Linked DNA regions of Neurospora crassa OR74A. The protein of the gene in region 1 interacts with the protein of each later gene in a biochemical or structural test. Links are inferred from orthologs where the notes say so. Each region holds a gene or a part of one and is shown in the gene's direction. Other genes may lie near its edges.

Region 1 (4,321 bases):
AGTCACCGAGGAGGGTGTGGACGCGGAGCAGACCAATGATGGAGAAGTAGCCGAGCATCTTGTAGAGGTTCTTGGAACCATACTCGCCGGCGACGGCCGCGGGATCCTCGTTGCGCTTCATGGCGGCCAACTGCTCGGTGATCTGCGACTTTTGGATCAGGGAGTAGAGGACGTTGAGGACGCTGTAGCAGCCCCAGGTGTTGGGGTTTTCGCGGAGCATGGCGATCTCCTCCTCATTGTTACCTTGACGGGCGATGCGAGCTCTGTACGAGGAGAACGAGTTGAACTGGTAGATGAATTCATCGATGACGTCCCAAGCCCAGTAGTACTAGTAAGAGGAAGAAAACATGTGTCAGCACAAAGCTATCCCATGAGACCATGGAGCCGAGGATATCGATGATCATGGCGTAAGCGGAGGTAGACTAACGGAAGGGGGCTCGAGGTCGACGGGGCCCTCGGAGTTCAAGATGAAGTGGAACAAGCTGCAGTAGGAATCGTAGCTCGAGAACTTGACCTCCAGACCGGCGGAGTAGTCAAGGGGCTGGGCGGCAGCGGCGAGGCGCGACTGGATGTCGTCGGTCTGGGCGGCGAGGGACATCTGGGTGGACTCGGCGTCATCCTCCTCATATTGGACCTGCTCCTTGTAGTCGTTGACGAGGGCCTCCTCCTCGACGTCCGAATCGGGGTCGATGGCGCGGGCGGGCGCTTGCGCTTGCTGGAAGGCGCTCATGATGGGCTATAGTGGGAAGAGAGGAGGACTCGGGAAAGGATAATCCGACGTCGCGTCCGGGTCGAGAAGAGTTCACTACGGGGTCGGGGGTCCGGAGTGGTGGTGGTGTGGGTGAGGTCGGTGGTGTCTCTCTGTGGTCGCGAAGAGTGAGTGGCCCGAAGCGAATCGACAGGACTTTGCTTGGCGGGGCTCAATTTTTTGCTGTGTGGCCCGTCGTCCGTGGGCTTCTTTCACCCACTTTGCTAGCATTGTGAGGGGGGCGGGGCCCGCGCTAGGTCGCTTCCATATCCGTTGGGAATTTTGGGAGAAAAGCGGGGTGTATGCAGTTTCAGGGTATGGTCTGCCACTGTCTGACTGGGCACAAGGAGCGCCAAGCATATGGATATATCGATGGCTCACTCGATCTGAACGATTGAAATTCGAATATCAGAGTGGAGAATTCAACTATCAAGCACACTGTTCAATAGCAGGTCAGACAGGTGGCAGGCAGTGAGGGGCAACTGGAACCAGTCCGATGCCATCTCAAATGACAGCGAATGAATCATTTCAAAGTCAACTTTGAAAGTCAGGCACCGCGCGGCGGGCATCGTCGGCGCGAGAAAAAAGCACATGCGTGTACACTGCTTTCTGGGCTTGATATCAACTGGAGAATGACAGTATAAGATAAATAATAGCACCAAACCTCGCAGAAAATAATACACAAATGTAGTTCTTGTGCATCTTGGTTCACGTTCTCTTCCAGGTTGTCTGGCTCCGGCTTTTTTTCCCTGGATTTTCCAACATAAAAAAAAAGCTGCCCCGCCAAAAAGTTGCCCAAGATCGACTTCCAAGACTGACGCCTCCCATCCTTTACCCATTCCCATATTAATCAGCGATCACCTCAACCACCTTTCATACCCATTAAGCTCACTCGAGTAAGCACAACACCTAAACCTCTAACTGCACTCTACAGTAGTCCCGACACCAAAAACAGAATCTATATTTGCTCAAAGGAAGCTCATCAGTTGTGAATAATCATCATGCCTGTTGTCCAGCCAGAAAAGCTGGCCAAGCTCCAACAAAATGCCGACGACGTGAGGAATGTAAGTTGAGCTGCATGTGATATGCATCCTTGTGTAAACCCCAGCAAGACTTCAGTTCGAGGGCCTCAAGCTAACTATCCTTTTTTTTTTTCAGATTTGTATCTTGGCTCACGTTGTATGTATTCCCGATACCTAAGCAACGTACCTAGCCTAGATCTATCTGTGTTGTTGCTACAGAGACTTACACTTCATCTTCCTTAGGACCATGGGAAAACATCACTCACAGATGCCCTTCTCGCCACCAATGGCATCATCTCACCAAAACTCGCCGGAAAGATTCGCTATCTCGATTCCCGGCCGGATGAACAGCAAAGAGGTATCACCATGGAGTCTTCAGCCATTTCACTATACTTCTCCATGTTGAGGAGGTCGGCTCCTGACGCTACTCCCGAGGCCAAGGAGTACTTGATCAACCTGATCGACTCCCCCGGACATATCGATTTCAGCAGTGAAGTGTCCACTGCTTCTCGCCTTTGTGACGGTGCCGTTGTTCTGGTCGATGCTGTCGAAGGCGTCTGCAGTCAGACAGTAACCGTGTTGCGCCAAGCATGGACCGAGAAGCTCAAGCCCCTTCTTGTTATCAACAAAATCGACCGCTTGGTTACCGAGTTGAAGATGACCCCGGGCGAGGCTTATATCCACCTCAGCAAAATTCTCGAGCAAGTCAACGCAGTTCTTGGAAGCTTCTTCCAAGGTGAGCGCATGGAAGAAGATCTCAACTGGCGTGACCGGATGGAGGAAAGAGTGGCTGCCGCCGCGGCCAAGGAGGCTCAAATAGCTGCCGGTCAACCTGACTCCGGCGAGCTTCAGTTCCAGGAAAAAGACGACGAGGAGATTTACTTTGCGCCAGAGAAGAACAACGTTATTTTTGGCAGTGCCATCGACGGCTGGGCTTTTACTGTTCGCCAGTTTGCCGGCATGTACGAGAAGAAGCTCGGCATCAAGCGTGGCTTGCTGGAAAAGGTTCTCTGGGGCAACTTCTACATGGATCCCAAGACCAAAAAGGTACTTGGGCCTAAGCATCTTAAGGGCAGACCTCTAAAGCCCATCTTTGTCCAGTTGGTTCTGGAGCCAATTTGGGCTGTCTACCAGGCCACGGTTGGTGGTGACTCCGGTAAGGGTGATCCCGCTCTTTTGGAGAAGATCACCAAGTCCTTGAACCTCAGTGTACCGCCCCACATCCTCCGCTCTCGGGATCCCAAACTACTCCTTACCACGGTGTTTGCTTCTTGGTTGCCTCTCTCTACGGCTTTGCTCGTCTCAGTGGTGGAGTCATTGCCTTCGCCCAAAGCAGCTCAGGCGGACCGTCTCCCAGACCTCCTGGCAAGCGTACCCGGCGCGGACCACATCGATCCCAAGGTCAAAGATGCCATGGTCTCGTTCAAAAAAGATCCATCTGAGCCTATGGTTGCATATGTTAGCAAGATGATATCCGTGCCTGAAAGCGAGCTGCCGGAGAACAGGCGCCGCGGACCGCTTAGCCCTGAGGAGGCTCGAGAGCTGGCGAGAAAGAAGCGCGCCGAAGCCATTCGTGCCCAAGGAGGCGCCGACGGTGACCCTGACATGAACGACCTGGCCAACGCCTTCACCAGCACCTCCTTGACCGACAATGCCGTGCCGGAACTCGAGGAGAAGCCCGTCGAAGCGGAGCATCTCATCGGTTTTGCCCGTATCTACTCGGGCACTCTATCCGTTGGCGACGAGATCTATGTGTTGCCCCCAAAGTTCTCCCCGGCTGATCCTCATGCCCAACCCGTCCCGAAGAAGGTGACGGTTACCGCTCTCTACATGCTCATGGGTCGCAATCTCGAAGCCCTTCCCTCCGTCCCAGCTGGTGTCGTGTTCGGTATTCGCGGTCTCGAAGGCAGCGGCCTTCTCAAGTCCGGAACGCTCTGCAGCCAGCTCGAGGGCTCGGTCAACTTGGCTGGTATCGCCAACCTGGCCGGTCGCCCCATTGTTCGTGTCGCTCTTGAGCCTGTCAACCCCTATGACCTGGACAAGATGATTCAGGGTCTTCACCTCCTTGTCCAGAGCGATCCGTGCGCTGAGTATGAGCACTTCTCCAGTGGCGAGCACGTCCTCTCTACTGCCGGCGAATTGCATCTCGAACGCTGCCTGACGGATCTGCGCGAGCGGTTTGCGCGATGCGAGATCCAAGCCGGTGCGCCCATTGTGCCGTACCGGGAGACGATCGTTCGTGCCGAAGAGATGCGCCCTCCAGTGAACAAGGAACTCGGCCGCGGTGTGGTTGTCGGCGTCACGAGCTCCAGGCAAGTGACGGTGACCCTGCGCGTCAGGCCCCTCCCGGCCCCCGTAACTGAATTCCTCCAGAAGAACTCCGCCGGCATCAAGCGGCTGTACACGGACCGCAAGGCGGCTGGCGTCGAGGACGGCACCGAGTCACCCTCTGTAGAAGAGGCTACGTTGGAGAACGGCACCCCGTCGGACGTCAAGATTGAAGAAGACGAGGAGGTGTCCCAAGCCGCCACCACCCTCACGCCCGAGGAGC
Region 2 (3,887 bases), about 1.8 Mb from region 1:
TCAAGGAAGAGACCAGTGAGCGAAGAGCAGCCGGGGCCACCGTTCAACCACAAAACGACGGGGTCGTTCTTGGGATCGTTGCGAGACTCGAAGAACCCTGGACAGTCCGAGTCAGCACCGTGATTTTTACTAACCAAGTACATTCGAGCGTGATTGACTTACAGTAGAACAGGTGCTTATCGTTCTCCTCGTCATCAAGGTAACCGCTGTACTGCTTGACCTTGTCGACGCCGAGCTTGGAAGGATCGACCGACTTGACGCGCAGGTTGAAGTTGTCGAGCTGGCCGCCAACCTCACGATGCTTTTCGCCATCGGCGCCCTTAACCCACAGCTTTTGGACATCAGCGCCCTTGACGACGTGGTCCCAGTCCTTGCGGCGCTTAGCAGCCTTGGGCTTGCTGAACCAGGTGGGCTTATCGAAAGCATTCTCAGGAACAAGCAGCTTGATCTCGTCCCAAAGGGCCTTGGCCTGGGAGTTCATGCCATTGAAGGCCTCCTCAAAGCTTTCAAGGGTAGTGTGCGCGAACGAGTCGGCGACGGGCTTAACGGCGTCATGGGCCTTGTGAAAGTTGTCGGCAAGGACATGCTGGGCCTGGTTCTGAAACGAGGCGGCCGAGGCGGCCGAGGCAGCCCCGAGGAGCACGGTTGAAGCCGAGATCCTCATTGTGATGATGTTAGGAGTATTGATGTTGTGATACAGATGGATGATGAGAAGAAGATGGAAGAGGGGAAGAGGAAGGAAGAGGAGGTTGATAACGGAAATGGATGGGCAAGCAACTGCCAAGGTAAAACGCCCCGGAACCGAGCTTCACCGGACGCGGATGCAGCAGAACCCCCCAGGATTTGGGGCAAGCTGGCATGGGATTGGATAGACGCTGCGCCGCCACATGAGTGCATGCCTGGGTATTGGTCAGGTACCTTGCAGGGCGGTCACGCTGGTCATGAGAACGGACGCCTAGCCGATCAGCCAGACAAAAAAATCACCAAACGCTTGTGAAGAGGGCCGCCTATAAGGCTCTCACCGCCATGTGTACCTCTTATTTTCTTGTACAGTTTGGCCTCAAGACGTGGCGCCAATCAACCTGGTATCAACCTATCTGTCTGATAAGCTACCTTTCGTCATTGTCTCAACCTCGCCAGCAAGGTCGCCTCGATGCGACTCCATGTCCACCGCCCGACAACAACTCACTCATTTCCTTCTCATTGCTGAATTATTGTCCATGTATGATACTCCAAACTCCGGATATAAGAATGTTGTTCCCAGGAGGAGATGATAATCCTTCACGGAACTCCAGTAGATAATCCTCATGAGTCGCGCATTATGCAGCGTGATACCCCTGAAAGATATCAGACGAACGGTGATTTTGTGCTGCTTTCCTGGCAAGTTCAACTCGAACAGGCGCCAGCTTCAGAGAATATGTGATAATAGTAATGAAAAATGATCCCTTGCAATTTGAATGACTTTGACATCCATTTCCTGTCTTCAAAACTGAAGAGGTCTCACTTCGTGTCAGTCTTTATCATGTTGAATATCTGACAAACCCGTCTCCAAGCGTGATGTTATGGTATCGATAACAGAAAGACCCACTGACTCATCCGATGGACAAATGGAATTCCCGCATCGCGTGCTTGACAAGTCCGCTTTTTGCCCGCCGTCAATCGTCATTCGGCTAGGGATCCGATGGGGCGGCCCATCCGTCCATCAGAGGGGACTGGGGCGGTACGGCGGGCAGGCGGGGCAGACTTTCAAAGCCCGCTCTGCAGCGGAGAAAAGTGGAAGCTGCGGGCGACCAAGAATTTCTGCTCCACGGGCATATCGTTATCTCTCTTACGGGCGCATTCTCAGAGAAACTGCAGCAAGTCAACTTGTATGCCCGGTTTCTGGAAACATATCAGCTACTCAGAAAAGCCAGTCCAGCATCCTATATACCCGACTGTTACTACCTTCGAAGCTATTTTCAACGGCTTCATTTCCCGGAGAATCAATACCGTCGAACCATCGAATTATACTCTTTTCACGACAACTACACAACCACCGCCAAAATGGTGATCCAACAGCCCTCCAACCAGATCAAACTGACCAACGTCTCCCTTGTCCGGCTTAAAAAGGGCAAAAAACGCTTCGAGGTTGCCTGCTACAAGAACAAAGTGCTCGAATGGCGGTCCGGCATCGAGACTGACCTCGACAACGTCCTGCAGATCCCCAACGTCTTTCTGAACGTGTCCAAGGGCCAGACGGCGCCGACGGCCGAGCTGCAAAAGGCGTTTGGCAAGGACACTTCGGTCAATGACATCATCCTGGAGATTCTCAAAAAGGGCGAGATGCAGGTGGGCGAGAAGGAGCGCAGCGCGCAGCTGGAGCGCGTCCATAACGAAGTCGTCTCCATTGTCGCCAGCAAGCTGGTCGACCCGCGCACCAAAAAGGTCTACACCACCGGCATGATCGACAAGGCGCTGGACATGCTCAGCTCGCAGGCGCATCAGCTACAGGAGAAGGAGAAGGAGAAGAAGGATGCGGCCGCGAGCGGTACGGCGTCGCCGGCGACGGGCGAGAGCGGCGAGGCGAAGCCGCAGCCTACAAAGTCCCTACCCATCTGGACCGGTGTTTCGACAAACAAGAGCGCAAAGTCGCAGGCGCTGGAGGCCATGAAGGCGCTCGTTGCCCATCAGCCTATACCCGTTGCCAGGGCGAGGATGAGATTACGCATCACTTGCACGACCAATGTGCTCAAGCAGGCCGTCAAGGCTCCCAAGGGGGAGGCCAACAAGGATGGCGAGGAGGGAGAGAAGAAGGCACCCGGAACGGTCAAGGACAAGATTCTCAGCTTCGTTGAGCAGGTTGAGAGCCAAGATGTCATGGGCCAAGAGTGGGAACTGGTGGGCTTCGTAGAGCCCGGTGCTTTTAAAATCTTGTCTGACTTCATCGGAAGCGAAACCAAGGGACAGGGAAGAGTAGAGGTCCTGGATATGGCCGTCACTCACGAAGATTAAAGCCATGACTTCGTTTCTCGATTTAACTGGCTGATACTCTCTGGGTCTTCGTCTATGGTGGTCTTGGTCACATACATGGGGTGGGCGTTATGGCATCGAAAATCATAGTGGGTTGTTTTAGGCAATGGATTTAATGGATTTGCGTGTTTCACGTCCATAGAGACCGAATAAAAATGCCAGTAAATCATTTTCCATATCCACGCCGTTTATTGTCATGCTGTCAATGATGTGTCTTCCATTATGCGAGTTCCCCCATTAGCCATAGGCTACCTAGAATCCAGATACGCGCAAGGCGAAACAATTCAGTCCCAGGTGTCCATGACTGCCCGTCTTGGAATAACACCACCAATAACCCAGAAAAAGCAGCGCCGAATATGCCCGCACAGATTTAGTTGCCCTTCTTCTTGGAGACACCGACGGTACGACCGCGGCGGCCAGTGGTCTTGGTGTGCTGACCGCGAACACGGAGGCCCCAGTAGTGACGGAGACCGCGGTGGGCGCGGATCTTCTTGAGGCGCTCAAGATCGTCACGGAGCTTGGAGTCAACACCGTTGGCGAGGATCTGAGAGTCCTTGCCGTCAACGATATCGCGCTGCCTGTTGAGGAACCACTGTAGACAAGGTTAGACGACGAAGTCATATCGAGTGAAATCCGTTCAAACGTACAGCGGGGATCTTGTAGGCAGTGGGGTTCTGCATGATGGTGACGATGCGCTCAAGCTCCTCAGAGGTGAGCTCACCGGCACGCTTGCTCAGGTCGACATCGGCCTTCTTGCAGACGAGGTTGGAGTAGCGGCGACCGACACCCTTGATCTTGGTCAAGGAGTAAACGACCTTCTGCTTGCCGTCAACGCTGCATAAAAGTCAGCGTCCATATTCAACATATTGACCCTCCTC

The links.
Region 2: the proteins of NCU06278 (region 1) and NCU00476 form a complex in vitro, tested with the Saccharomyces cerevisiae proteins (3 studies listed by BioGRID). The link is inferred for Neurospora crassa OR74A from reciprocal best matches to the Saccharomyces cerevisiae genes RIA1 and SDO1.

Annotation. Positions count from the first base shown.
Region 1 is NC_026503.1:2,179,265-2,183,585, reverse strand, and holds the start of NCU06278 (elongation factor 2, variant 2), read left to right. Parts: upstream 1-1,403; 5' UTR 1,404-1,644; exon of another isoform or gene 1,645-1,734; 5' UTR 1,735-1,749; coding exon 1,750-1,812; intron 1,813-1,906; coding exon 1,907-1,927; intron 1,928-2,013; coding exon 2,014-4,321. Other genes in the region: NCU06279 (eukaryotic translation initiation factor 3), read right to left, coding at 1-328, 428-730. UniProt on the Saccharomyces cerevisiae protein: GTPase involved in the biogenesis of the 60S ribosomal subunit and translational activation of ribosomes.
Region 2 is NC_026503.1:3,986,465-3,990,351, reverse strand, and holds NCU00476 (UPF0023 family protein), read left to right. Parts: upstream 1-1,682; 5' UTR 1,683-2,043; coding exon 2,044-2,991; 3' UTR 2,992-3,267; downstream 3,268-3,887. Other genes in the region: NCU00477 (carboxypeptidase Y), read right to left, coding at 1-97, 163-664; NCU00475 (40S ribosomal protein S18), read right to left, coding at 3,380-3,601, 3,657-3,843. UniProt on the Saccharomyces cerevisiae protein: Involved in the biogenesis of the 60S ribosomal subunit and translational activation of ribosomes.